Linked DNA regions of Callithrix jacchus. The protein of the gene in region 7 interacts with the protein of the main gene of each other region in a pairwise test. Links are inferred from orthologs where the notes say so. Each region holds a gene or a part of one and is shown on either strand. Other genes may lie near its edges.

Evidence for each region.
Region 1: the proteins of GFAP (region 7) and PDZK1 interact in binary tests that used the Homo sapiens proteins (3 or more experiments, as listed by UniProt). The link is inferred for Callithrix jacchus from reciprocal best matches to the Homo sapiens genes GFAP and PDZK1.
Region 2: the proteins of GFAP (region 7) and CWF19L2 interact in binary tests that used the Homo sapiens proteins (3 or more experiments, as listed by UniProt). The link is inferred for Callithrix jacchus from reciprocal best matches to the Homo sapiens genes GFAP and CWF19L2.
Region 3: the proteins of GFAP (region 7) and RIBC2 interact in a two-hybrid assay, tested with the Homo sapiens proteins (2 studies listed by BioGRID and IntAct). The two-hybrid records come from large-scale screens. The link is inferred for Callithrix jacchus from reciprocal best matches to the Homo sapiens genes GFAP and RIBC2.
Region 4: the proteins of GFAP (region 7) and PIAS2 interact in binary tests that used the Homo sapiens proteins (3 or more experiments, as listed by UniProt). The two-hybrid records come from large-scale screens. The link is inferred for Callithrix jacchus from reciprocal best matches to the Homo sapiens genes GFAP and PIAS2.
Region 5: the proteins of GFAP (region 7) and UBASH3A interact in binary tests that used the Homo sapiens proteins (3 or more experiments, as listed by UniProt). The link is inferred for Callithrix jacchus from reciprocal best matches to the Homo sapiens genes GFAP and UBASH3A.
Region 6: the proteins of GFAP (region 7) and PIH1D2 interact in binary tests that used the Homo sapiens proteins (3 or more experiments, as listed by UniProt). The two-hybrid records come from large-scale screens. The link is inferred for Callithrix jacchus from reciprocal best matches to the Homo sapiens genes GFAP and PIH1D2.

What each region holds. Positions count from the first base shown.
Region 1 is NC_133519.1:8,106,494-8,110,450, forward strand, and holds part of PDZK1 (Na(+)/H(+) exchange regulatory cofactor NHE-RF3), read right to left. Parts: intron 1,488-3,957; coding exon 1,291-1,487; intron 1-1,290. UniProt on the Homo sapiens protein: A scaffold protein that connects plasma membrane proteins and regulatory components, regulating their surface expression in epithelial cells apical domains.
Region 2 is NC_133511.1:7,236,116-7,240,072, forward strand, and holds part of CWF19L2 (CWF19-like protein 2), read right to left. Parts: intron 2,223-3,957; coding exon 1,576-2,222; intron 1-1,575.
Region 3 is NC_133502.1:214,533,571-214,537,527, forward strand, and holds part of RIBC2 (RIB43A-like with coiled-coils protein 2), read right to left. Parts: intron 2,523-3,957; coding exon 2,295-2,522; intron 1-2,294. UniProt on the Homo sapiens protein: Microtubule inner protein (MIP) part of the dynein-decorated doublet microtubules (DMTs) in cilia axoneme, which is required for motile cilia beating.
Region 4 is NC_133514.1:89,982,351-89,986,307, forward strand, and holds part of PIAS2 (E3 SUMO-protein ligase PIAS2), read right to left. Parts: intron 706-3,957; coding exon 231-705; intron 1-230. UniProt on the Homo sapiens protein: Functions as an E3-type small ubiquitin-like modifier (SUMO) ligase, stabilizing the interaction between UBE2I and the substrate, and as a SUMO-tethering factor.
Region 5 is NC_133522.1:48,228,372-48,232,328, reverse strand, and holds part of UBASH3A (ubiquitin-associated and SH3 domain-containing protein A), read right to left. Parts: intron 3,554-3,957; coding exon 3,355-3,553; intron 1-3,354. UniProt on the Homo sapiens protein: Interferes with CBL-mediated down-regulation and degradation of receptor-type tyrosine kinases. Promotes accumulation of activated target receptors, such as T-cell receptors, EGFR and PDGFRB, on the cell surface.
Region 6 is NC_133511.1:11,775,259-11,779,971, forward strand, and holds the start of PIH1D2 (PIH1 domain-containing protein 2), read right to left. Parts: upstream 3,090-4,713; 5' UTR 2,989-3,089; exon of another isoform or gene 2,661-2,988; intron 2,441-2,660; exon of another isoform or gene 2,362-2,440; intron 2,237-2,361; exon of another isoform or gene 2,136-2,236; intron 1,590-2,135; 5' UTR 1,559-1,589; coding exon 1,382-1,558; intron 1-1,381. Other genes in the region: uncharacterized protein NKAPD1, read left to right, coding at 3,961-4,029.
Region 7 is NC_133506.1:85,323,996-85,328,422, forward strand, and holds the start of GFAP (glial fibrillary acidic protein), read right to left. Parts: upstream 2,992-4,427; 5' UTR 2,048-2,991; coding exon 1,494-2,047; intron 542-1,493; coding exon 481-541; intron 277-480; coding exon 181-276; intron 1-180.

The DNA.
Region 1 (3,957 bases), on a different chromosome or scaffold from region 7:
TTCTGCCAAATTCGAAATGACTCATCATTCATGGCAGCTGCAGTTGGTTCTTTTTTTTTTAAAAAAAAGACAGGGTTTTACCACATTGGTCAGGCTGGTCTTGAACTCCGGACCTCAGGTGATCCTCCTGCCTTGGCCTCCAAAGTGCTTGGATTACAGGCGGCCAAGTATGTTAATATATTTTCCATATCTCCTTTCAACTTTAATTAGCTGGTTAGGAGGCTGGGCATGGTGGCTCACACCTGTAATCGAAACACTTTGGAGGCCACGGCGGGTGGATCACCTGAAGTAGGGAGTTCAAGACCAGCCTGACCAACATGGTGAAACCCCCATCTTAAAAAAAAAAAAATTAGCTGGTTAGGAACAAGTAGCATGCCATTAAAGACTTCTATTCAGGTTGATATCAAGTATTTTCTGGGTATGACAGTTCAAGTAACTAAAAAGGCCATTAAACCAATTCATTGTTTAATCCTGCTTACAAGATTCCCTTGAAATATCTCATGAAAATGTGCTGAGGGAGGAATATGGTATAACGAATTACAGATCCAAGAATTTGGGTTCAAATAGCAAAGTACTTAATCTCTCTAAGCTTCAGTTTCCTAATCTATGAGGAGGGCCTAATATATCACCACCCATCGTATTCCTCCCTCTGTATCATTTATTTTGGAATCTGCTATTATTGCATTTTACAGAGAACATTTATCTTGTTCATCTTTACGATAAACACCTAGCAAGACAGATGGTACTTAGAAGGCCCCCAGATACCTGTTAAACTAGACTGAACCTCAATTCTTGTATTAAAAGTGTTCAAAAAAACTTAAAACACGCAGTAGTAGGTGTTATAAGAGCTAAGAGAAAATAGAGTGAGTTTCATTCAGCTTGGTCTTAGTCTGTGTTTCTCTTATTTGCTAAGAGTTTACGAGCTGTTTAATAATCCTTTCTAGGCTTTTACACGCCATTGATAGAACTTAACTGACCTAAAGCTTAAAATCTAATTGTTCCCTATTTTGGGAACAATTTTATTTCCAGACTTAACGTTCTCCATAGATTTTCTCAGATCACCGAGTAAGTCCGCAAATGGTTTCAAAATCTTAAGAACCAAGCACTTAAAACTCCTCAGTCATCTGGCATTCTCGTCACGACCAGCTGGAGGTCAGTTCAGCCTTAATGACGATTGTTAGGCGTCTTCCAGTTAAAGGAGCAAAGTCCTAACAGTGCAAAGTTTGAGGACAGGAGTGAATGGGCCCGGCCTTACTGCGCGAATCGATGGCTATTATTCATATTACTTACCAGCCTGTACATGCTGTCTGTCTCTTTGTCTACCACCAGCAGTGAAGTCTGATCTCCACCCTTTCTAATCATTTCCACCACACTGTCATGATCCAGGGTTTCCACAGACTCGCCGTTGACAGCAACTACCAGGTCATTGTTCTTCAAGCCGGCCTCTTCTGCTGGACTTCCAGAGTCTATGTCCTTGATGATTTGACCTGCCCTCCCGCACCCCCAAAAGTAAAATGATCAGTAAGTCCCCTAGAAAAATAAACATTTTCTGCTGGAGCCCAAAGTCCTGATGAAATAGATAGAAAAGGCATGCTGAGTACAACTCCCCTCCCAGAAAGCTTATCGGCACATTATCTGTTTGTTTCCTGCTCAGAACTCGCTCCAGGAAGTAACCCGGCCATTAACAATGAAGGAGTCTTAATGAAATACTCATGTTACTAAAAGTGCCTGACATTCGGTTTGACCCAAATAGGTACTAAAGGTCTGCAGGTTCCCAGGAAGTCGTGGGCAACTTGTAGCCACGTGTCTTATGTAAAAGCTGTCGTAAAAGACGCGGAAGAATAAAGAACAAAACCCAAAACTGTGGACCTTAAGCAAGCCATGCTGGCATTTTAGTAGCAATTGGACGTGTTCGGTTGAGGACGTATTTGTACGTACACTCCTCAAGGATGTGCCTTTGGCCTTCTGACTTCAACTATCTTTACTGGATGCCGCCAGAGCCCTCACGTTTTTTTTTCTTTTTCTTTTCACTGAGTTTTGCTCTTGTTACCCAGGCTGGAGTGCAATGGTGCGATCGGCTCACCGCAACCTCCACCTTCTGGGTTCAAGCAATTCTCCTGACTCGGCCTCCCTAGTAGCTGGGATTACAGGCACGCGCCACCATGCCCAGCTAATTTTTGTATTTTTAGTAGATGGGGTTTCACTTTGTTGACCAGGATGGTCTCCATCTCTTGACCTCATGATCCACCCACCTCGGCCTCCCAAAGTGCTGAGATTAAATGCATGAGCCACCGAGCCTGTTTGTTGTTTTTTGGTTTTTTTTTTAACAAGCTCCTGTTTCACTTTTCCAGCTAGCTGCTGGGTATCTCCAACAAAATATCTCACATATTTCTCAACTGTAATGTATTCAAACCAAAAATCAGCTCTGCCCTTTCTCCTTCCCAAGGCCCCTCCTCCTGGTTACCTGTTAGTGTAGTGACATCCTCCTAGTCACCAACACTTAGCAACTGATTCTTCCCCAGCATCCAGTCCCCGTATCTAGATGATGGCTAAGTCCTCTGATGCTACCATCATGGCTTACACATCCCACTTCATCTACCCTGAATGCAGTTTGTACTAATTCCTGCCTGGAATTCTACCTAAACTATGACGCACCTTCCTACTGCTCTCCCTTCCCCAGTCCTCCTCTTAGATGCAGATCTGCCTTCAGATCCATCTCAATACACATTCCTGACCAAGTCACTTCCTGGTGCAATGAGCACGGATTTTGGAACTAAACAACTATTTTGCCTTACATAATTACTGTATCTTCTCCAAGTCCTCCATTTCAGCAATTCTTGCATAACTGTCAGGAGTAATTGAGAGGTGCAAAGCCCCCAAGATGTTACAGGCTTTTTTTCTTCTCCCTTTACTGCTCAAAAGACAACTCCCCATAGTCTAATGAGCCAAGTCCAAACTGGTCAATCTTCCATCCAGGTCCCCTCATCACCTCTCTCCAACCTGCCCTTCCAATGAATTCTTTTTTTTTTTTTTTTAAGATGGGGTTTCACCATGATGGCCAGGATCCACCCACCTCGACCTCCCAAAGTGCTAGGATTACAGGCATGAGCCACCGCCCCCAGCCATGAATTCTTACACTACACATCATATGCCAATCAAACTGTGCCCATCTCCTGGCTGTGTTCACATGACTCCTACCTTCCTGGAATGATCTTCCTTGCCCCAGCTCTGTCTGCTTTCCCAAATCTATTCAGGTTATAAGGCCTGAACTCAAGTGCCACCCCTACCAGGAGGGCTTCTGGTAGGTACCTTTTTACTGAGAAAAGCTTACTCTAACCTTGAATTATCACAGTGCTTGATCTGCCCCTGTGTGAAGGTATTTACCTCTATCTCCCTTCATTATGCACAGAAGTCTCTTATCTGCCAAGTGTGGTAGGCTCCTTGACTAAAGAATTCCTGCCTGATTCATGTGATACTCTTTCTCCAAGGCACTGAGGATGTTTTTAACAAAATCAATCAAATTAATATTTGATGAATTAATGTAAACAGAGTGAAAATAGCAACGTATGAGTGACTAACAGTTTATACGGCCTGAACTCATGTTCTTTTATGAATTTACCTTCCCTGAAAGAACCTAGTGCTCTTCCTATTGAGCTGCAAGGAAGGAGGACTCCTGGCTCTCATGCACACCTGGGCCTCAGCTCCAGCAGCGAACTGTAGCTGGCTCACACCGGCTCACAAAAGCCGATTCTTAGCAGTACTTCTGTGTGTTCAGTGACATCGTGTTAGTAAGTTGAAATTGGACATAGGGGAATATTTACATCACAAAAAGCAAATGCTACCAATTTGGACTTTCCCCCACCCCCAGAGCCATCTTACCAGGATACAAATTCTGCCTCATCATTCAGCTATGGAAACTTTAGGATGCCCAATATCAGACCCTCATGTGACTTAGAA
Region 2 (3,957 bases), on a different chromosome or scaffold from region 7:
TTTTCTTTTTTTGGATGATTCCTAGATTTTTCTTTCCCTCTCCGGCCAGTCACAGAATTACAGAAAGCCTCAAATCCTCTCTACTATCAAATTAACACAGATAACAAAGAATAGTATCTTCAAACCAAAAATTACAAATATACATACATATATACACACATATACCTTTTAGTGAATGCTCTCTTCAAACCAAAAAATTATATATACACACAGACACACATACATACACAGCTTTTAGTGAGTGCCTGTATTATAGTGTATCTATCAGAAGATCACAACTTAAACAAGACATGCAAATATGCAACAATCAGAAAACCAGTTGGAATACTAATTGTGTAGTAGACATTTTGCTCAGCTACAGTCACAGAAGACCTACAGATCATCCAAATGCTAACCCAAATCCTAATGATATCAGGAAATAACAGCCTCATTTCCTAGTGGCTGGGAACTGAAAACAGTCTACCACCCAGGGTACCTGGAGAGAAGACAGGATAATTATATATGCACACAGGCTTAGGCACTAATCCCTGCCATGTTTATTCAGTCAATACAATTGGATTTCTCCTTCTGTTTCCTGGGAGCAAAGCCCTGACCTGAACCAGAGCCCATTTGACTGGGGCTTAATCACACGGTTCTGATTTTGCCAGCTCCCTCCCACTGAAAGTTACACACTGAGTTTTATAATCCACTGCTTCAGATGGAGTCATTAACAAAAGTGATTTATCAGACTCACCACCCCAAACCACAGTGCTTTTATTTACTACAACCAAAGGGTTTCTATTACTTCCTAAAACCTCTTCCTTTTTTTGAAGACGTTTTAGGAGTGTCCCACTCATTTGGTGCCAGATTTAAATGATCATTCAAGTGTAAGTTATTACACTCTGGACACTTTTTGTTTTTCTGGCTATCTTCAACAGGGCCAGCCTTATAGCTAAAGCAAGTTTTCTTAGGTTTGGTCTCATTCAACGGGGGTTTCCTCATCTTCTGACCCAGCCCTACATAAGTGCAACATATATTTTACACTTAAAACTCTAACATTATCTTTAAAATCTGTCAATCGTCCAAAGTGGATTATTTCTTTCTCTGTGCAAAATAACAACCATAATTCATGCTGCCTTTTGCAAGATCTCCGGCACATATTTGTTTATATTGGGCTGTGGTAGTATGGTTTCCTTTTGTCTCCTAGACTTCCTGCAGACATACATTATTTATGATTATGATTATACTTAATAAGATAATTTACTTAGAAAATAATGGCACTGGTAACAAAATCTACCAAAATTTCTCCTACAGCACATACATTGAAAACATTAACTCATTCTGTTTTTTGAATTGCAAAGAAGCAACATATTTTGAAAAAATACAGCTACTGAATTCTTTCAGCTCTTCTAAAAAAGAAGCAAACCTGTGAAAAAAAATGCAATCTATAATACAATATTACTGCATTGTTAAACGTGCCTATCTTACCCTTTCTATCAATTTTAAGATGTGTGAGACCACAGTCACAGTTAACAACTGATGCTCTAAAATTACATTTCAGTTCTTTGAACTCTCGGTTAAAAAATGATAAAATACCCAGCAAATGCAGCCTTTGGGTCCTGCAGGTGTTTGCCTGGAGGGTCATCTCTGAAGCCTTCATCTCGCGGTTTTTCTCTCGTATCTTCGGTAATGTGTTGGTATTCACTGGTACTGGTTTCCAGCGGCGTTTGATCTGAATGCTTCTTGTCTCCTCTCCCATCAGAGTGACTCCATGTTAATCTTTCTTCGCTGTTCCCGGTGGGTTTTCTGAAACCACTGTGCAAAGAACCCTGAGCTACCAATGCTGAAGATGAACTAGATGGTTCACATATTCTGCCCTTGCTGTGAAATGACAGTTCTTCATCATCAGAGGGTCTCAAGAATTTAGCTCTCAAATTTCCAGAAGAAAACTCTTGAGTTTGCCTTGGGTTAGATTCTCTTCTATATGTTTCTAAAGAGCCAGGCCTCTTATCTTTTTCATCACCAATACATTTATCATTATTGCTATTTTTTGCAGAGTCTGTTGTAGCATATCTATCACGTGAACTGTTATCATATTTTACTAAGTCTGATTTTCTACTTTCTTGACTATTTTTTGCTTTATCTGAATATGTGGGTTTCCTCCACCGTTCTCGTCTATAATCTTCTTTTATGGATGCAGCTTTTTCAGCGTCTTCTAATTTCGACTGAAATACTTCCACTGACTACAAAGGAGAAAAATTAAACAAGATATCTAAAATTAGGAATGGCTCAGTGACTTGCACCCCACATGTCACTGTATGACTCACTGCCAAGCGGCATACTGAAGAGCCCACTAAGGGGGTGAAAGAGGACCCCTATAATCATCCTACACTGACACACTTTTTAAAAACATGCATAAACAATTAAAAATTATCAAATAACAAATAGATACCCCAAAAACAGCCAGTTAGACCAAATGCTCTGCACTAATACAAAGTATAACACTGAAAACAGTAAAGACAAACTTTTCAAAAAATAATTAATTCCTACTGGTTGTGAGACTCAAGAGGTTAAAATGCTAAAACAGACTCTCATGAAAAACATAATAATAATTCAAGAACAAGAAAAACTTGCAAATATAAAATTACGTGCCACAAAAAAATGCCCAGATACACAAAAGGAAGAACAGAGAGTGCTGAAACCTAAATTAACCTGGGAATTCTCTACATTTCAGGAAAAGGTAGTAAATAAATGTTAAGTTATAAGAAAGAAAGACACATGAACAATGATTCTAGAAAATCTAATATACATTTATTAGTGCTTCCAGAAAGATGGAGCAAAGATGATGGGAGAAGAGCATTAATTTTAAAAATATATAAGAAAATTTTCCCCAGTCAATTTCTCAGAAGCGCTCATCCAATAGCCTTGGGTGGAGAAGAGAAACAAAGAAAAACAGAAAAAAACCCTAATTCCTGAATCTCAAAACTCAAGGAAAAAGAAAATCCTTTACAATGACTAGATTGGAGAAGGAGTGAATAAGTGTGAGCCTGCATTTGGATAGGGGTAGATAAATAACAAATTACGTGCAAAAGAAAGACAGACTTATCAGCTGTTCATCTATAATAATAAATAAATAATAGACTCAAGATGAAATTTTTAAAAAATTAAGCTATAATTCTACATAAAGAATTCAATTTACAATCAAATTATCCTTCCTAGGTATGAGAAAAAGAAAATCATTTTGAAAAATGCAGAGAATAAGAGGGCATAGCACTAGCAATTCTGAGGGCAAAAAATTGCTCAACATGATTAAGTCACTCCATAAATGAATTAGGGCAAAGATCTCTGGAAAAAAAAAAAAAAACAGATGCTAAAAACCAAATGGGAAATGCAATGGTCAAGTCTAAACAAATGTCCTTGTAGTTGCAAAGGTTAAAACAATTTTCAAGGAAAAGATGCATCACACACAGAAACAGAAAGCAGAAAGGTGGTTACTGCAAGGAGAGGGGATGGGAAGACGGAGGTCAACGAGTACAAAGTTTCCATTTTATAGGATAACTAAGCCTTGAGACATTACGTCCAATAAGAGGACTACAGTTAATAATACCCCATTATATACTGAAAATTTGCTAAGAGAGTAGATTTTAGGTACTTTTATCAGACAAAAAAGGAGAATAACTATGTGAGATAAATAATACATTAATTTGCTTAACTGTAGTAATTATTTCCTTGTGCATATCAAAACATCCTGGAATACAACACAATAAATAAATAAATAAAAATTTTAAGAAACAAACAAAAAAGCACCTTTTACTCAACTTTGAATATAAAGATACTTAAACATGATATAATCTTAAACACAAGAAGTCATTACTTAAAGACAAGAATACCAGCTTCCAATCCTCTCATCAAAGTTCTAAAATTATAACTACTTCAAAAAGAAAAGAAAGTTTAAATATTTTAACAGAGAGGAAAAAA
Region 3 (3,957 bases), on a different chromosome or scaffold from region 7:
CATGGCTCCCATGATGGCTCTCTGAGCTCCCAGCCCACACCAAGCCCTCAGAAGAGATGTCCATGTCCCTTGCTCACCTCAGCCCAGGGACAGGGCTCCAGGAAGTCTCTCCTCTGGCATCAGTTTCCCCCTCAACTGTATCACAAGTGTGGTGTTATTTACACAATCTAAACAGACAGAAGCTTGCCCTGCACGCCACGGCCCTGACCAGCTACCGCTCCATTTTTCTGCACCCTTTACAGCAAACGCTTCTAAGTGTTGTCTACATTTGCCATCTCCATTTCCTTCCTGCCTGTTCTCTTGAGCCCATTAGGATGTCAGCCCCACTCCTCTCCAAACACGCTCTTTCCTGACAGGGTCCCCGGCGGCTACCATGGTGCCGGCTCAGGGTTTAGCCCACAGCCTAGCAGCAGTGTCTGACTCAGCGGTTCCCCTCCCCTTCCCCCCACAAACCTTTCCTCACTTGGCCTCCAGGAAACCATGGCTTGCATCCGTCCACCTCCCTGGTGGCCCCTTCTCAGGTCCCTTTGCTCTTTATAAATGGTGGTAGTGAGAAGGGGGACCCTGTGGGGAGCAGGACTCAGTCCTCAGCTTAAAATACTCTCTGTAGGGCCAGGTGCAGTGGCTCACACCTGTAATCCCAGCACTTTGGGAGGCTGAGATGGGCAGATCACTTGAGACCAGGAGTAGAGGTATCTACTAAGAATACAAAAATTAGCTGGGCATGGTGGTGCATGCATGCCTGTACTCCCAGCTTCCCAGGAGGCTGAGGCAGGAGAATTACTTGAACCTGGGAGGCAGAGGTTGCACCACTGCACTCCAGCCTGGGTGATACAGTGAGACTCTGTCTCAAAATGCATACATAGATACTCTCTGTAGGTGACAACTCACATTTCTGCCCCCGGCCCAGACCTTGTTCTGAGCCCTGTTCCATATCCAGCAGGGCTTTAATTGGAGGTTGTGATAGAAAATACCACTTCTCTCCCAGGAGCCATTTTTCGTTCTTCCTTAGTAAAAGAATCACCAGCACGTCACTGCCTGGAATAAATGTGACATTTCCCTGCCTTCTTTAGAGTTAGGGGCAACTTCATGACTAAATGTTGTCCGGTGAAATGTAAGTGAAAATCTCCATGCCTCCTTCCTGGTAGCTGGACTATGTATGTGATGGCTGGTGCTCAAGCAGCCATCCTGCGCTAAGAAGTGACAGCCAGGAGACAAGGATAGCAGGACATGGGTCAGTGACCACAGAGCTGCCATATCAGCCCTGGACTGTTTTCCTGAGGATTTAGACTACACACAAGAGACTATTTTCAGATGCTGTTATTTGTGGTTTTCTGCCACATTCAAGCAAATCTAATCCTAATAGATACAGATATCTAATGAACTTTGCATACTTAACATATCTAAAATTGTAATTTTGATTTCCACCCCTCCCACCCCACCAACCTGCTCCTCCCACTATCTTCCCCATTTCCGGAAATGCCAATTCCACCCCTCTAGTTGCTCAGGCCACAAGGCCTGGAGTCGTCTCTAATTCCTCTCTCTCACACGCCCCCACCCAATCCTTCATCCAGTCCTGTAGACTCTACCTTCCAAATATATCCAGAATCTGACCCTTTCCCAGCACCCCCACTGCCAGTGCTGTGGTTCCGGCCAGCATGGCCTCTCACCGTGAGCACTGCAAGGCCTTCCTAGAGGTCCCCTTCCTTCCTCCTCAGCCCCTCGCATCCACCCTCAACACAGGGGGTCAGGCTGGGAATCCTGTTCCACCTAAGTCAGATCTTGTCACTCCTCTGTCCAAAACCCTCCAGAGTTCCCTGTCTCAGTCACAGAAGAAGCCAAAGTCCTCTCCAGCAGCCTCTCAGCAGGACCTCGACCCCCTGTCTCTGCGGCCTCGGCGCCTGCCCCTCCCTCACTCCACTCCAGGCACCAGGCTCCTCGCTCTTCTCCGAGCAGGTCTGATGGGTCCTGCCTCAAGGCCTTTGCCCTTGCAGCTCCCCCGCCTGGTCGCCATTTTCCCAGCTCCACACACGGCTCCCTTCTTGCCTGCTTTTGGGTCTCTGCTTCAACGTGTATCCAGTCTACTGTCCTCTTTCCTGGCACTCCTACTCCTGATGCCACATCATATGGGTGTGAGACTATCTGGCCTGTCTCCCCTGACTAGAAGGGAAACTCCTTGAGGCCAGCTCCTAGGGCAGAGCACAAGGCCTGCTACAAGGAGATTTGTGCCTGGAAGGCAGCAGGAGCACAGGGGCCAGCTCTGCCGGCTCTGGGAAAAGGGGAGGGGCAGTCACCAGCTTCTCCTGGACTTGCTGCTTCTGAACCAAGCGGATCTGCTCCAGCTGCTCCTGGGTCATGCCCTTCCAGCGGTCGGGGACCACACGGTGGGGCCCGAAGGAGCTGGCTGCCTGCTGCGGGTTCTCAGAGAGCAGGTCCCCACGCAGCAGGTTGGTGATCTCGGCCAAGTTGTCCTCTAGTTCTTGAGCTTTCTCTTGCTTTTTCCTTTCTGCTGACTCAATGGCCTAAGCAGGTGAAGACATGAAAGAAGATGGTCTGAGTGACCCCAGGGGTCTTCTGATACCCAGGCCAGCAAATCTCACTGGGGGCCCTCGAGGGAAGGATATGCTAAGGGCAGCAGGAGCCGGGTGGAGGGGAGACTTGTCAGGTACGGATGTGGGAGTGTCCCGGAACCTCTGCCTGAGCACTGCTGGGTGGATGGGCTAGACTCAGGGGATCACCCCCGCTGGGTGTGTGCCTAAGAGCTCTGGGTCTTGCACCAGCTTGCCAAGGCAGGGGGCTCCCTCCCTGGGTTAGGCCACCCAGGGCAGGGCTCTGTGCCCCTGGCAACCCTTGGACATTGGTGGGCTGCAAAGAACACCCGACAGAGTGATTCACAACAGTGATGACTTCTCAAAGTTAGAAAATGCACTGTCACCTCAGTCGTGCAGTCCTCAGTGCAAATCAATTCCAGGTCTAATTTCTGTTCCATTCCCTGGGAGGTCCCTGGCTGTGTGACCTGCACAAGTCAACCTCCCCTCTCGGGGCTGCAGTCATTTCTCTGTGAAGTCAGGAGATGGCGTAGGAGGCACGTACTTGGGTTAACAGTTGTCCTCAGTAACACATGGACAGGGCAGTTTGCAAGGGGCCAGCAATCCACAGGTGCTCACCAGAGGCCACTTCGCTGAGTCACACAGCACAGGCTTTGAAACTGGATGGGCCCAAGTTCAAATACTGGACTTGCCACTAAGTACTCCCTAAGAAAGACAGCTCATCCTTTCAAGCCTCTTTCTTTTCTTTTTTTTTTTGGAGACAGAGTCTCACCGTGTCGCCTGGGCTGGAGTACAGTGGTGTGATCGCTGGTCCCTGCAACCTCCACCTCCTAGATTCTCCTGCCTCAGCCTCCCAAGTAGCTGGGATTACAGACGCCTGCCACCACACCCAGCTAATGTTTTGCATTTTTAGCAGAGACAGGGTTTCATCATGCTGGCTTGGATGGTCTTGAACTCCTGACCTCCTGATTCACCCACCTCAGCCTCCCAAACTGCTGGGATTACAGGTGTGAGGCAATGCATTGGCCTCTTTTTTTTTTTTTTTTTTTTAAAGACAAGGCCTTACTCCATTGCCCAGGCTGGAGTGCAATGGTGCCCTCAACTCACGGCAGCCTCAACCTCTCGGGGTCAGGTGATTCTCCTACCTCAGTCTCCCAAATAGCTGAGGCTATAGGGGTGTGCCACCACACCCGGCTAATTTAAACTAAAGTTTTTAGAGACAGAGTCCCACAATATTGCCCATTCTAGTCTTGAACTCCTGAGATCAAATGATCCTCCCGCCTCAGCTTCCCAAAGTGTTGAGATTATGTACATGAGCCATGGTGCCTGGGCCTGAGCCTGTATCTTTGTTGGTTAAGTTGGATTAATCACGCCTCTGTGGTAGGGCTGCTAAACACAGTGACTACGA
Region 4 (3,957 bases), on a different chromosome or scaffold from region 7:
CACCTCAGCCTCCCAAAGTGCTGGAATTATGGGCATGAGCCACGGCACCAGGCCGAAATAAATGTTCTTAGATTTCAGTCATGGTTGCCAAATTTTTATCTATACATTAAAACATTCAGCACTGATGTCTCAATTTTACTACATTAACAGCAAATCATGTATCAATAGTCGAAGGCCTCTCGTTTCATTTACTCTCTTGTTCAGAAGAAACTAAATTCTCTAACACTTACCTAAACTCGTGGGCTTGATGAGAACATCAAGGACATCATAAAAGGGCAGATTTTTTAACTGCACATCAGGATGGACAGGAGGAATTGGGGGAGATGGCTGCTGCATCTCAAATGTGGGCTTAGTATCTTGAAGCAGCACAGAACCAACAGGAGAGGATGGTGAGTGAGGTGTAACTGAAGTGGAAGGCAACGAGTGGATTCCAGCCACGGCCAAGTCAGGTTCTACAGGTGATGAGCTACCATCCAAACTGAAAACCGATGATTTGATTGTGGATAAATCAGAAAGTCCTTCAAGAGTTCGTGGATATCGGCGTCTATACAATTCTCGGATTTTAATCTGAACCGCAGGGCTGCAGCCACTCTTCAATAAATGCAGCGCCCTCATCAGGAGGTCATGCTTGCGTCCACTTTTATTCCGTCCAGCAAAGCCTAGTAATACTTGTAGTTCAGAAACCCTAAAACTAGAAACCATATTCTAAAAGGAAAGAAAAAAAACAGAAGCCAAGTCACCCTTAAGCATACAAAAATCCTATCTAAAATATACTGTAAAATGTGATTTTTCCAGCATTCTATCAACTGGCATGTGCTAGTAACAGCATTTCACATACCACTTAGAGTCACTACCATTCGTAAGACAATCCCGTAAAAATTACATTCAAGTTATGCTGTTAATTATATTTTGTTGCATGAGATCTTAATTTTGGTAATCTATAGTCTATTGGTTTCTACTACCACTTCCTTATCTGATTATGCTCTAATATACACAGATTGCTTTATGACTATAAAATCTATCACCAATGAAAACATTCCTTTTCAAAACCAACCCCTCCCAATACGCAACTTAATGTTTGTTACAGAATTATCACCAGTTAACCAAACAAATTAGATTTTCACAGTGTTTGATGTGCAAATTTTGATGCTGAGTAGTCAATCTATTAAAAAAAATCTAGACAGCACTGTGATCTAAAATGCAATAAATGTTTTGTCCCAACTCAAACATTAAGGAACAGACAACATAATAAAAGATATTTTAAAATATTAAAGCTAAAAAGCACATACATCTGATTTAGCAGTCAGTCAAATTTCTAAAATGACTCAAATTCCCAGCTGGGTATCCAAATGGGAAAAACACCTTTGAAGAGCAAGGAAATGAGCAGTCATCAATCTTAAAGGGCAACATTTCCTCCACACTACTCTACTGACTTGTGCTTGGGTGTAAAACAAAGGTTATAAGCAGTTCCAGCTTCACATTGCATCTTCTATTTTTTTTTTTTTTTTCAGCAAAACTTGGTATTTTTAACCCCTTGCAGCCTCAGGAATCCACCAACTTAGTGATTTCCAGTCACTGAACTCAGAGGCAAATCACCCTTGGGTCAGATGCCACACATGCAAGAAAGAGGAGGAAGATCTGAAGCTGAGCAAAGCCCTGTCCATCCTGTCCCCATCACTCCCCTAACCCAGATCGTGCTACACACTCAACAGTTACTTGGGATTCCTTTTCAACCTGTTCTTCTCAACAGTATAGTGGCAATGTGAGGCAGTTGCTCTGTACTTTTAAGTCTCAGGGATGGCCCAGAAGCAATTGTTTAAGACCCTGTATGGCTTTTAAATACATGCTAGTTTACTAAAATGCAAAAATAGATTTAAATATACCAAAGTAATCCATGTACACTGTACCATAACTGTACTTTGTGTTCTATATATGTCTCCATATTTCATATTGTACAAGTCAGAAAATATTAAATTGTAATCCTGGCAAGCATTTTATACTCTAATTCAGTGCTGTCCAACACAAATGTAATAGCAGTCATATTAAAAGAATTAATTTAGGCCAGGAATGGTGGCTCACACTTGTAATTCCAGTGCTTTTGAAGCCCAACACAGGAGGATCACTTGGGCCCAGGGGTTCAAAACCAGACTAGACAACATAGTAAGATCCCTTCTCTACAAAACTTTAAAAATTAGCTAGCCATAGTGGTGCATGTGCCTGTGGTCCCAGCCTCTCAGGAGACTGAGGCGAAAGGATCACTTGAGCCCAGGAATTTGAGGCTACAGTGAACTGTGATCACAACACTGTACTCTAGCCCTGGGCAACATCAAGACTGTCTCGAAAATAATAATAATAAATTAATAAAGTTATTTAACCCAATATATCAAAAGTATCATTTCATCTCAACATGTAATTTTTGTAATTTAAAAATAATCATTTTTTAAAATATCAGTGGGGTATTTTTTCATATTACGTCTTTAATATCTGGTAAATATTTTTTACTTATGATACATCTCAATTTGGACTAACCACACTTCAAGTGCTTAAGACCCACATGTGGCCACTAGCTACCACATTGGGCAGTGCAGCTCTAAATCATTAATAACACACATACCACAATGCCATAGTCACTGTATTTCAACTTGCTTTATTTCCTCCACATGCAAGATGAAGATTTTATTCATCTTTGTTGTCTTACCTTTACAGTGCAGACAACAAAGATAGAAAACAAGAAAATTTTTGGCCTCTCTCACAACAAACCAGTTACAGCTTACTCAACATCTCATGCATTAAATGGAAGACAATAGCTTCTTAGGAAGGGTTTACCCATGTAAGAAATAACGATGCATCTTTCCCAAAGTCCTCAATCTTATTAAACACTTCAACTGATTGCAGAACTCTAACACTAAAAAAGGCAATCACACCAATACAACATAACTATGATTTTTTCAGACTAACTCAGAATTCATTACTTTGCTTCACTCCTTATACTTATTGTCAGATATTCTTCATTCTAAGGGAACTTGTTTTACAGAAATGACAAAATACAAAGTCACCCTACCTAAGCTTGACTCTCAAAGGAATTTCTAGAGGTCTCATTATCTCATATTTCCAGTGATAACGTTATTTGGCGAAGGATGTTAAAGCAACTGGCTGTTGTACATAGACAAATAAAAAGTAAGAAAGAGATAAGGGCTTAGATTATGAATATCACAGAATTCTGAACAGCCGATAGGACAGTCTTTGCATTACAAAATGCTACAAAGATCAAGTACTGCTGGACACACAGCCAAAGGTAATGAAGTCAATAGGGCCCCGTGAAAAACTTCAGGCCAGCAATCAGCAGCAGTTGTTGTTCAAGCCCAAGCACCAAGACTTCGGACCCTGGGAAAGTCATTTCATCCCTACGCTCATCAATTTCTATTTTAGAATGATAACAAACACCCCAAAAAAGTTAGCACTTACTGATAAAATAATCTCAAAGCAGCTTACTAAGTAAAATTTTATGAATACTTTTGTTGTTGTTTTTTGCAAATCTTACTAGATCCCACTTCCTCTTAAAGTAATACCTACTTTTTTTTTTTTTTTTGAGAGGGAGTTTCGCTCTTGTTGCCCAGGCTGGTATGCAACGGTGCAAAGTCGACTCACAGCAACCTCCGCCTCCCAGGTTCAAGTGATTCTCCTGCCTCAGTCTCCCGAGTAGCTGGGATTACAGGCATGTGCCACCATGCACGGCTAATTTTGTATTTTCAGTAGAGCCAGGTTTTTTCCATGTTGGTCAGGCTGATTGAGATCACCTCAGGTGATCCGGCCACCTCGACCTCCCAAAGTGCTGGGATTACAGGAGTGAGCCACCGTGCCTGGCTTTATTTTTTAACTTAGTCTTCCATCAAGTTTCAGGTCCTTCCCCCAGTGAGTGGGTATGGTGAATAGGGAGGGTCACCAGAACCCTCATGG
Region 5 (3,957 bases), on a different chromosome or scaffold from region 7:
GGGCATCCTCTGCCCCAATGGCCCTGGCCCTCCTGGTCTTGCAAGGGGGCTCTCAGGCCAGTGAGCAGAGCAGCTGGAGTCTCCGAAGCAGCTGGGATCTGATTTCAGTTGGGCCACAAAGTATTTTATGTCCTAGGGAGGCGGTCGGTGTCTTGATGGGAACAACACAGACTTTGGGGTGGACAGACGTAGTTTTAGGGCACACTGTGCCCCCCTTTTGCAAGGTGACCTTGACCGAGCCTCTGGGCCAGGCCCAATTTCTGTTTCAGCAGCATTTGCTGGAGGATGGCAGAGGCTGCTTGCCAGGTCTGCCGTGGGAAATCAGCTTCTTAAAATTTCCTGCTAGAGACGCTGTGTCAGTGCAGAGGTCACCTGCCCTCGCTCCACGGCAAGGCACTTACAGACAGGATCTGCTCACCCCCTAAAAATGTCAAGGGTAATGCAAGCCTTTCCTCAGAGCCCCGAAGTTGGAGCCCACTGCTGTCTCCCACGTGAGTGGTGAACCTTTAGAGGCAAACGGGAAGCTCCCACGGTCTCTGGCTGGCCCAGGTGCTGAGGCCGCGCAGCCCAGAGCGGCGGGAGTGTGTAGGTGGTGGGGAAATTCCTTTTCTGACTGTTTTTTAGCAGTTGGGGAGGAAGGCCTGGGAAAGACCCACTGCTGGCGGCTGATGTCAGAGTGAGTCACACTGACTTGTGAATGGGTCCTTGTGTTTCCTTCTCTCCACAGACCCGTGCCTACGGGGACGTTTCACTGGGGAGGGCCACTGTGGGCAGGATGTCTGGTGCGCTTGCCCCAAGAGGGCGCTTGGCCACTTCAGAGCAGTGACTGGTCACTTGTCACTGGGAGAGGCCTCTCTGCCCGCTCAGTGTCAGGCTGAGGGCATGGGCCAGAAAAGGGCAGGGCAGAGCCTGCTCAAGGTCAGGGTGTGGATGTGAGGTCAATGCTAGCTTGCACAGGAAGTGGGGCCTCTCGGCATGAACCCGGGTGGTGTGGAGCAGGACAGAGCTGGGTTCAGGTCCTGGCTCCACCAGACTGGTTAGGGCACTGGATCAGTTTCCAACAACAGACATTTATTCTCTCCAGTTTCTGGAGACCAGAGGTTCAAAATCAAGGTGTTGGCAGAGCTGCGCTCTCCCTGAAAGCTCCTGGGAAGGTCCTTCCTGTGTCTTCCAGTTTCTTGTGGCCTCAGGCATCCCTTGGCTTGTGGCCACATCACTCCCGTCTCTGCCTCAGTTGGCATATGGCTTCTCTGTGTCTCTGTGCGGCCTCTCCACTTATGGGGACCCACCCTACTCCAGTGTGACCTCCTCCTAACCAATCGCATCTGCAAAGGTCCTATTTCCAAGGGAGGTCTGAGGTTGCTGGTGGACATATATTTTAGGGGACGCCACTGCACACACCACGTGACCTTGGGCAGGCACTTTGCCCTTCACAGCCTCAGCCTTCCTGCTTTTAAGATGTCGCCGTTGAGGTTCACTAGGGAAGCCTGGGGTATGAAAGAGCCATCGTCTGGCAGAGGAGACTCATTCCACAAAGACCAGGGGTTACTTTCTAATTATCCGGCGGATTCGGTCTCCAGATTCACAAGCTGGCATCCAAATGGAAGCCTGGGATTCATGGTTGGATTTATGGGCCAAGATGTCTGTTTCACGCGTGTCTGAGGACAGAGACAGACACATTCCCGGGGAGAGAGAGGAGGGCCCCTCCCACCAAGACACTGCGGCCTTGTCAGATTTCAGAGCTGGTAAATCATGACAACGCTGAGCACCGTCTGTGTCCTGGGAACCGGGGCGGGTGCGCCATAGACTCAGGCAACATTGTTCTTGAAGAGTGAGAGCCCTCATCGTTTTGTAGAGAAAGAAAAGAGAGCGAGTGGACCTGACTTGACTAAGGTCACGCCACTCATCAGGAACACAGAAAAAATCCACATGTTCTGATGCCAAGTCCAGAATCCTTTCTACCAAACCCCAGCCTCAGGCTCCAGAGCAGGGAATTTTGATGATTCTCAACATGTGTCTAAATAATCCTTCCCTGGAGAGGCCAAGGAGAGAGCACTGAGCTCATTCTGATAATACAGAAAGAGGTCACATAGGACTCGTGTGTCTCCCATTCGAGGCCGAGGGCAGGAAGCCCTGACTACCCATGTGCACCGGCCTCCAACACTGTCACGGTCACCCAGTCAGGCTTGATGCTTGGCACACCCCTCTGGGGCAGTTTCCCGGGCTGTTGGCATATAGCTAAGTGTTTGAAAAACCACTAAATGCGAACAAGACTATTTCCACTGAAGGAGAAGACCACTGTGGGTCCAGAAGCTTCCTATCGGCATACATTTTTATATGAAGCTTCCATCGGCCCCCGTTTCCATATGAAGCTTCCATCGGCCCCCGTTTTCATATGAAGCTTCCATCGGCCCCCGTTTTCATACGAAGCTTCCATCGGCCCCCGTTTTTATATGAAGCTTCCATCGGCCCCCGTTTTCATACGAAGCTTCCATCGGCCCGTGTTTTCATATGAAGCTTCCATCGGCCCCCGTTTTCATATGAAGCTTCCATCGGCCTGTGTTTTCATATGAAGCTTCCATCGGCCCCCGTTTCCATATGAAGCTTCCATCGGCCCCCGTTTCCATATGAAGCTTCCATCGGCCCCCGTTTTCATATGAAGCTTCCATCGGCCCCCGTTTTCATACGAAGCTTCCATCGGCCCCCGTTTTCATATGAAGCTTCCATCGGCCCCCGTTTTCATACGAAGCTTCCATCGGCCCGTGTTTTCATATGAAGCTTCCATCGGCCCCCGTTTTCATATGAAGCTTCCATCGGCCTGTGTTTTCATATGAAGCTTCCATCGGCCCCCGTTTTCATATGAAGTCTTCCATCGCCCGCGTTTTTATATGAAGCTTCCATCGGCCCGTGTTTTCATATGAAGCTTCCATCGGCCCGCGTTTTCATATGAAGCTTCCATCGGCCCCCGTTTTCATATGAAGCTTCCATCGGCCCCCGTTTTCATATGAAGCTTCCATCGGCCCGTGTTTTTATATGAAGCCTTCCATCAGCCTGAATTTTTGAAGGCTGCAGTGGCTCAAAAACGAGGCTCTAGTTAAATTCTTCAGCCTCAGGTTAAGACCATGTCCACGCACCCGGCTGAAAATCCAGAAGTGGACACGGAAGTGCCTCGGTGAGGACGGGTGCATCCACTGAGCCCAGGAGAAAGCCCACCCCGCCATCCCACCATTGCTGTGGGCTCTGCTTCCCTGGAAGCGACCCACTGCCTCTGTGTGCTGGGAGTTCGTCCCTGCCACGAAGGGCTCACTCACTGTGAACCCGGCCCTGTGTTTTCAACCGGCCAGGGCTGCCCACCTGCTAAGAGAGATGCTTCTGTGGCGAAGGTCATGGCGAATTCCCGAATGACGTCTGCGGGGCCGCCGTTGAGGAAGAAGCCGAGGTAGCTGATGGAGGAGTGGAGAGCCAGGGGCACGGCTGTGGGGAAGGAGCCCAGGAGCCTGTCTCCAGCTCTCTTCAGCGCCTCGTACAGGCACTCCACCTTCTGGTCTTCACACTAAGGGAGAGACAGAGCCCGTGTTTCCTCGCCTGTCATCAGAAGTTGTCTAATAATTTAATAACAATCGACGGTGATTCAAGTGACTCTTTTCTGTTCAAAATGCTCTAACAGTTTACCTCGTGCCTGTGTGTCTGGGGCTATGGATTTGTTCTATACTCGGACCTCAGTTTTTCAATATTTCAGTCAATTTCTTTGCAGGATGGTGTCTCCTCTAGGTGCCCAGGCTGGAAGTCCCCTGGTCCTCAAGCTGCATCCCCTCCCTCCATGGCATGTGTTCATCACCTGCTGAGCCCTTTCCTCAGTCCCATGGTGTTGCTCAGGTTTGCACTATTTGGCTTCTGGAGGTTTCCAGCACACTCCAAGGCTGCCCAGGCACTGCTCAGAACCTGCAGTGCAGGGGG
Region 6 (4,713 bases), on a different chromosome or scaffold from region 7:
ACTCCTGGGCTCAAGTTATCCTCCCACCTCTGCCTCCCTAAGAGCTGGGATTAGGGGCATGAGCCACCATGCTGGTGGCTGCTGCCTTTTAATCAGGAATCCGGACCAGGCATGGTGGCTCATGTATGTTACCCGAGCACTTTGGGAGGCTAAGGTAGGAGGATCGCTTGAGCCTAGGAATTTGAGACTAGCCTGGGAAACACAGGGATACCCTGTCTCTACAAAAATAATTTAGAAACTGTCCGGGCACAGTGGCTTACGCCTGTAATCCCAGCACTTTGGGAGGCCAAGGTGGACAGATCACCTGAGGTCGAGAGTTCGAGACAAGCCTGACCAACATGGAGAAACCCAGTTTCTACTAAAAATACAAAATTAGCCAGGCATGGTGGTGCATGCCTGTAATCCCAGCTACTTAGGAGGCTGAGGCAGGAGAATCGCTTGAACTTGGAGTCAAGTTGTGGTGAGCCAAGATCATGCCATTGCACTCCAGCCTGGGCAACAAGAGCAAAACTCCATCTCAAAAAAAAAAAAATTAGCTGGGTGTGGTGGTACCTATGATCCCAGCTACTTGGGAGGCTGAGGTGGGAGGATCGTTTGGGCTGCAGTGAGCTGTGATTGTGCCACTGCACTCCAGCTTGAGCGACAGGGCCAGCAAGACCCTATCTCAAAACAAACAAACAAACAAAACTTGCGGCTCCCAGAACTGGAAGGAAGCAGTTGTTCTAAGTGAATTTGACCTTATTTTACCACTTCTTTATCTCCCTAACCAAATAAGTTATTTGAAAAAATTCCAACTCCATAATTTTCTACTAAATCATTTCACTACTTTTTAATCTTTATTTTAGCAGAAAAAATGGCTGGTTTTTAAATCTCCAAGAACTATCAAGTATGAATTTCCCATTTTTACTCCTTCAACATAGTCTTTTCATGCTGTGTTTCATTTTCTATGAGAAGCAATTTCCCTCAAGTTTTCTTGTGTTAAACTAGCAGTAGCTAGCTGGGCACAGTGGCTCATGCCTGTAATCCCAATACTTTGGGAGGCCGAGGCGGGTGGATCACCGAGTTCAAGATCAGCCTGGTCAACATCGTGAAACCCCGTCTCTACTAAAAATACAAAACTTAGCCAGGTGTGGTGGGACATGCCTGTAGTCCCAGCTACTCAAGAGGTTGAGGCAGGAAAATCGCTTGAACCTAGCTAGGAGGCAGAGGTTGTCGTGGGCCAAGACTGTACCACTGCACTCCAGCCTGGGTGACAGAGCAAGACTCGGTCTCAAAAAAAAAAAAAAAAAAAAAAAAGTAGCAATAGCTAAGTGTAAGGTATTCCCTGGTTATTCTGGGATAATTTCAAGACCTCCCCATCCCTGGCACTAACTCAACTTACCAGAATCCTGGTCTGTAGGCAAAGCTGTGGTTCTGGGGCAGAACAGAGCTGTTTCCCTTCTTTCAGCTGCTGTTGAATAAACTTCTCATAGCCCTCAGGGTCACTTTCAGCTAGATCATCTAGGAGATTCCAAAACTGAGTAACTTGGGTGAGCAGACCCTTTGAGGATGTTTCCATAACTGATGAATGGTGAATAAGTTTCTTAAGCCTGTGGAAAGACATGACTTCAGGAAGAAAAATGTCTGTGGAACTATTGATTTATTTCTGCTTTGGGGAGGCGGAATGGGCAGGAATTGTTCTCGTGAAGTTAGCACTTAGCACCTGTGTCTAAAAGGTGGATCAGCACCACTTTATGTCTTCCTTATTCTTTAATTATCTAGTACCTCCTCCTATCTTCTCATGTTGTCCTCTCAGATAAGGCCTTACATTGGACCCTGACAAGTCAGAGTAATCATTTTAAGTCTGGGTTTCCTGATCTTCTTGTTTCAACACCTGACTCGTATCTCCCCAGTTCTGAAATTGCCACTTCTAATATTGCCAGTTCTGAAATCTTATGTTGGGTTAGGGCCACGTGAGACTTCTTTAATCGTCAGGATAGTTTGGTAATTCAAAGCATGGACTCGCGAGCCAGAATGCCTAGATTCCGGTCTTAGTTCTGTCTCTAGCTGTTGACCTTGAGCAATTATTAATATGTGTGTGTGTGTGTGTGTGTGTGTGTGCCTCTTTGTTCTGCTCAAAATGAAGATGATAATACCTATATCATAGGGTTATTGCGAGGATTAAGTCAGCTAATAGAGAGGCTGGGACCCTTTAGGTCTTCAGATAACTCTCCTTGGCCTCTTCTTCCATTAGAGAGGTCTCCCACAGCATCTTCACAATGAAGGAAAGAGGAGGTTTAGATTCTTCAACTACTATGTTAGGGTTACGCTAAATGGCAAACTTAACTAACGGGTAATCATTCCATAGGTCTGCAAACCCACCTCTTCTCTCAGTTCTAACGGGTAATCTGTAAGTTGGCAAACCCACCTCTTACTTCCTTGACAAACCGCAACGTCTGTTACCAGGGTAACCAGCCTTGGTACAACATCTAATTGGGTCCGGGGAGTTTCAGGCAGAAAAGTCTCTTTATATCTAGTTCCGGAATGTCTCCCTTCTGATGCCAAGCTAGCACCTTACAGGCAAGCACCCGCCACGCTTCTGCACCAATTAGTCTCTGGAGTGTCCCGAGAACCCTCCCTTGTGGGAGTCTCTGGGCCGCCTGTTGGTGGGAAGATTTCTCAGGAGAACGACTTCCGGCCTGAAAAGGAAGTCTCCTTTTTCTCCCAAATCGCTTCTTCCCCCCCTACCCCCCGCCACGCGAGGCTGCGGCGCACGGTATGGGTGTGTTTGTGTGTATTTGTGTGGGGAGGGCATTTGGAGGGAAGGTTACCGGGAGCTCCGAGGCCGCTGAGGGGCAGGGATCCCGATGACAAAGATGGGGATATTTCCTCTGTCTTCCATTTGGAAACCTCAACACCCGCTTCAGGCCCCCTAGATACTTCCTGGGGCCCAACCTAAGGCCGTAGTCATCCAAAGCGTTCCCATCTTTTCTGGGGAGTGAAACTTACCCCCGGGGTTCGTCCCAGAGGAGCGTGAGCGGGGAATGCCCGGGTCATCCCGGCCGTCCGAATTTCGCGCCGGCTCAGCATCCGGCTTCGGTCCGGGAGAGAGAATCTGCCTGTGGATCTGGGCTGAGGGCGGCAGAGGCCTGGGCCACAGGTGAGGGCAGAATAACCAGTGGGAAGGCTGCGTTTTCACGAAGGACTCGGGTGAAGCTGCAGAGCTGCCTTTGAGCCCTGACTCCTTGGCTTCCTGGGTCGGAGGAGATCTTGTAATGGAGTGGTTCTTCGTCTCACTAACAAGATGCCTGATTCCCTCAGGATCAAGGGGTGAGTGAGCGTTGGGATGGTTGCACAAAGCCCTGCTAGCCACACACGAAAATATTCTTGTCATCTAGTTTTTGGAAGCTTCCATACCAAGCAGGAAATAAAATGCCCCCAAATGGAGAAATTTGGGACATCTTTGCCTTTGATGTTTTGAGTCATTAGTTTCTGTTACTGTTGACATCTGCGGTTCCTGACACTCTCAAATTTACGTATTTGCTTCATTGCAAACTAATGTTGGGATTGGAGGTTTGATTTTTAATCTAGACATTGACCTACATCATTTGCCTGGGACTGTGTGGCTTGGGATATTACAGCTTTAAGGGACCTTCATCTACAAAATTGGGATGGAGATATTTGCCCCATACAAAATAGAGTTATGAGGATTAAATAAAATAGTGCTCATGAAAGCATTTATTTTTATGCAGTCTTGTGCATTTTCAAAGAACTTTAATGTACATTATCTTTTTTCATCTCACATTAGTGTGTTCAGGCATTTCCCTCTTTTAATAGTAAAGGGAAAACTTAGGATCTCTGACTTCTAGTTTTCAGTGATCTTTCCTTTACCTCATGCTTCTTTATAAAGTTTAAGAAAAGATGACATAATTAAAGAAATTATTACTAAACATTATTTGTTGATTCATTTCAGATTGAAGAATGTCCCGGATTCCACTGGGGAAAGTCCTCCTGAGGAATGTCATCCGGCACACAGATGCTCACAATAAGGTAGGAGGTACAACCTAGTTATTCCTCAACACTTACTGAAGGCAAACAGTGTGCCAAACATTATTTTGGCACAACTGGGAGATACAAAGAATATTCTTGTCATCTAGTTTTTGGAGACTTCTGTAAAAGTGGGAAATAAAATTATGAATAAAATAGATAATTATAATACAGTTTGATCAGTGATGTATAACAGAGATATTTGCAAAGTGCTTTGGAGCACTAAGGAGGAAATAATAAAATCTACCTTGGGGAATTAGAAAAGATTTTACAGAATGAGTGGTATTTGAGCTGCTTATATTTGAACTGGTTCTTGAATAGGTATAAGTTTAACAGGTATGAAAGATCATTCTGGATAGAGAGCATCATACATTAATATGGCAATGAGAAAGAGCATTAATCAGTTGAGGCATGGTAAGAAATTTATATATCCAGAAAGTAGGGAATGTAGGGGTTAGTAGCAGAAGATAAGGCCTCAGTGGTAATTAGAGTTGGATTGTGATGTTTGGAGCTAAGACTTTTTCCTCTAGGCAATAAAGAAGCCATCAAATGTTTTTGAACAGGGTGTGACATGATCATAGTTATATTTTAGAAAGGTGATTTGTCAGCTGGGTAAGGAATGAATCAGATGGAGAGAAACAATAGAAAGATTAATTAGGAGGTAATTACAGTAATACAGGTGAGAGA
Region 7 (4,427 bases):
CGCTCTCTTGTCTGTTTCCCTTATTGCCTTTCTCTCTCTCATGTTCTGTCTCTATCTGCCAGTCTCTGTTTCTCTCCTCTCTCTGAGTGTCTCTCTCACTCTCAGCCTCTCTGTCTCTGCCTCTCCTTCTCTCAGTTGCAATCTCTGTGTTGAGCTTTCCTCCCTCTTCCCTGGCCTCACCTCCTCATGGATCTTCCTCAAGAACCGGATCTCCTCCTCCAGTGACTCGATCTTTCTCTCCAGATCCAGACGGGCCAAGGTGGCTTCATCTGCTTCCTGGAGTGGCAGGAGTGGTGAGGAGCAGAGGGCCACTTGGGCCTCAGGCTCTTCCTCCCCATGCCTCAGCCTTGCCTTACCCCTCCTTCTGGGGCAGTGGGGAGCAGCACATTGCTCTGGAGGGCTGAGCTTGGGGGCTGTGTTTGGGTGGGTTGCCATCAACCCCTTTCCTCCCTCCCTAGCCCCTCCCTCCACCTCCCTGACCTGTCTATAGGCAGCCAGGTTGTTCTCCGCTTCCAGCCTCAGGTTGGTTTCATCCTGGAGCCTGGAGTTGGGGGACACATTCCTGGGTCCAGGCTCTTATGAGGACACTTGGGTCTCTGCCCCAATCTCCCTGGAGGCAACTGTCATAGAGACCACCCGCACCCAGGACCAGCAGAGCAGCAGGAGGAGTAAGGGTTGGGGGGCTTTAGACAGAGGCCTCATCTGGAGGATGAGCAGATGCGCGCTTTTGCCTTAACTCATTACCAAGGTGCCTTATCAGGGTTGGTGCACCTGTTCCTGCTCACAGAGGCGCATCCACTGACATATACTCACTGCTACACACACACACACACACACACACACACACCCTCCTGCACTTGAAGGCACACAGGCGCCTTGCCAGCTCAGTGAAGCGCCATGCCCCTGGGGATTCCTCTGATCCCAGGTAACCACCTTCTGAAATGAATTTTATTATGAGCTTTGCTTCATAGTTGTGCAAGTCAGAGTGACTTGACGGGGGTCACAAGTTGGTGTCAGGCTGTCACCTGTGCTCTACACCCAGGCCTGCCTGCGCTTTCCCCCACTTCCTTTACCCCAGAATCCAATCTCCCTCCTGGATGCCAACCTTCTCCACTTCCAACTCCTTTATACAGACCCAGGCTCAGAATAGGTGAGCTCGCTGCCCACAGTCACAAGGCCCAGCCATGAGTGAAAACGCAAGGGCCCGGCTGCTGGGGGCCCGGCTGCTCCTGCACTGCTTTCCTCAGTGAGGAGGTGCTGAGGGGACCCTGGTTCCCTGGCAGAAGGTGTTTGGGAATCAGATCCCCGGGGCCCTGGCCTCTTTCTGGTCCCTCTCATCATGCTGTAGGGGCAAGGATAAGGCCCCATCAAGAGGTAGGGAGACCCAGGGAGCAGGGAGGCTCAGCCCCTGCCTGAGACTTCTCGGGGACTCCCTCTTGGGGGTTCAGCCCCCTCTGCTCACAAGGCCCCCCCCTTCCCCATCTCCTTCTCACTTCTGCCTCACAGTGCCCAGGTCCTGTGCCAGATTGTCCCTCTCGACCTCCAGCCGGGCGCTGTTGGCAGTGAGTTGATCGAGCCGCAGCCGCAGCTCTCGAAGCTCAGCCTGGTAGACGTCGGCCAGCTTGGTGGGCTCCTTGGCCCGCAGCTGGTTCAGCTCAGCAGCCAGCGCCTTGTTTTGCTGTTCCAGGAAGCGAACCTTCTCGATGTAGCTGGCAAAGCGGTCATTGAGCTCCATCATCTCTGCCCGCTCACTGGCCCGGGTCTCCTTGAAGCCAGCATTGAGTGCCCCAGCCAGGGAGAAGTCCACTCGAGTCGTGAGTGGAGGAGGCATTCGAGCCAGGGAGAGGCGGCTGCCAGGACCCAGACGACGGGAAGCCAGACCCCCCACCATCATCTCCCCCTGGGAGACGTAGGAGCGGCGAGCAGCGGAGGTGATGCGTCTCCTCTCCATCCTGCCCTGGCTCTGCTTGCTCCTGAGACATGAGGGCTTTATGAAGGAGTGGGCTGGGCTGGCAATGCTTGCTGCCCCTGGCAACGCCCCCGGCATAGCCTGAGGGGGTGGGGTTGGGCTGCAGCCCAGCTATGGGGAGAGCTCCTCTCACCCCATTGAGGTCATTGTGCCCAGAGGCAGAGCTTCCTGGACACGCCAACTCCTGCATGAGGCAGGTGGTGCCTGGAGCCAGACCATGGGTCCGGGGCCCTGACCACTGAGGCAAGAGGACCCTCTCTCTAGGAAGGTGGGTCAAGAAGGGTTGGTTGGACCACAATGAATATTACGATTATTATGCATCAATTAAAAAGGAAGGGAAGGGCAGGGTGGGGTGGGTCATACTTGCAATCCCAGCACTTTGGGAGGCTGAGGTGGGAGGATTACTTGAGCCCAGTAGGTTGAGGCTACAGTGAGCTGTCTTTGCACCACTTCAGCCTGGGCAACAGAGACCCTGTCTCAAAAAAAAAAGGAAGGGCTGTACCAGATGACCTCTGACCTGCCTTCCAGCTTTTTGATAACCCAGGCCTTCTGTCACTCAGCTGTAAGTGCCTGCAAGGTGCTGGGAATTTGGTGACGAACAAACCTGTTCCATCTCCTCAAGGGGCGTCTATATCATAGTTTCCGACTAGGCCCCATTCCCAGCAGACCCCTGGACTCCTCCCGTCGAACACAGATGTCCCACATTCCTGCTCTCTGCCCATTCATTCCCTGGAGTTCTGGGGCTGGGGGCTGGGATTGGACACCAGCCCTTTGTCTCAGGTCAGTCATGGTCTCTGTATGGCAGTGGAGGTCCTGATAGGGCAAGAAGGGGCTGGTGCTCTCTGGCCCAGTCCATGGCTGCACTTCAGCCCCTGGGTCTGTCCCTCCGGGTCACCCCTTCCTTGCCTGCCTCCCTGCGCCCCCCTCCCAGAGCCTGGGCCTTGACAGCTCCGCAAAGCAGTTATGCATCAGCTGGCTGTGCCGGCTCGAATCTTTGCTTCTTTGCTCCTGTTTCCCTGGCCACTCCTCCATCTCCCACTGGAGATTTATCTCCTCAAGTTACCACACATCAGGCTGTGGAGATGAGAAGGACCTCTGGGGATGGATGGGTTTGGGAACTCAGGAGCCACTGGGTCCAACTGGGAGCCTGAGACTTGGGCCCTGTTGTCCCTGGAGACTTCAGGTCCATCTATGCTTTCCACTCTGGTCTTACAGGGTCAGAACCCTGCCGAGGCCCCTCACCCATTTGTGTCCTTGGACTTCTGGGAAGCAGACAACCCTCCTCTCCCCCCTGCCACCCACTGTCCATGCCTGGACCTCCTCTGATCCCCTTTCCCGGGCACTTGCTGAATAGAGCCTTGTTCTCCACCGCCGGTGGCGCCACACAGCAAGGGCAGCCCCTAGGGGGCTGTGCTGCCTTTATCCCAAGATGCCAGGCTGTCAGGCTGGTGTGCAAGGCAAGCCCCCTCTCAATGGGCTTCTCGGAAAGCATCTGAGGGGGGCTGGGGTGCGGCGGGAAGCAGGCAGTGTGCCCACCCCTGACCATTGTGTCTGTGCCAAGGTGAGTCATTCAGTGGGCACGAAGAGGAGGCCCTGGGGGGCGGCCAACCCAGCGCTGCCAGGTCTCCTGCTTGCAGACAAGGCCTGGCTGTCCGCCTCTTCCCCAGTTCACAGAGCCAGCTCAGGCCCCTGAGCCTCTGTCAGAGCAATGTCCCCTACTCTGCATCAGAATATGTTCTTTTTTGTTGTCCTTTTGAGACAGGATCTCACTGTCACCAAGGCTGGAGTGCAGTGGGGAAACCACGACTCACTGTAGCTTCACCCTCCCAGGTTCAAGTGATCCTCCCGCCTCAGCCTCCCGAGTAGCTGGGACTACAGGCATGCATCACCATACCTGGCTAATTTTTAAACTTTTTTGTAGAGATAGGGTCTTGCCATGTTGCTCAGGCTGGTCTAGAACTTCTAGGCTCAAGCAATCTTCCCACATCAGCCTCCCAAATTACTGGGATTGTGCCGCTGCATCCAGCCCACGGTATGCTCTTCGTTTGCCCATGTGATGGACAGACGGCTTGCTGAGATCTCCCTCTGTGAGTCCCAGCAAGAGAGGACGGTGACAGCCCCTTAGGCTCTAGTCACATCTGACCCTGGGCCTGAGCACTGACACAGGGAGGGGAATCTTGAAGACGAGGGGGCGGGGCGCCCAATGACCTATGATCCTGCTATGAACTGGGGACCTGAGGAAGGACAAGAGGCTTTAAAGGAAGAGCAAGGCTGGGCACAGTGGCTCACGACTGTAATCCAAGCACTTTGGGAGGCCGAGGTGGGCAGATTTCTGGAGCCCAGGAGTTTGACACCAGCCTAGGTAATGTGGTGAAAACTCATCTGTGCAAAAAATATAAAGAAGTTAGCTAGGTGTGGTGGTGCACTCCTGTGGTCCCAGCTATTCAGGCGGTTGAGG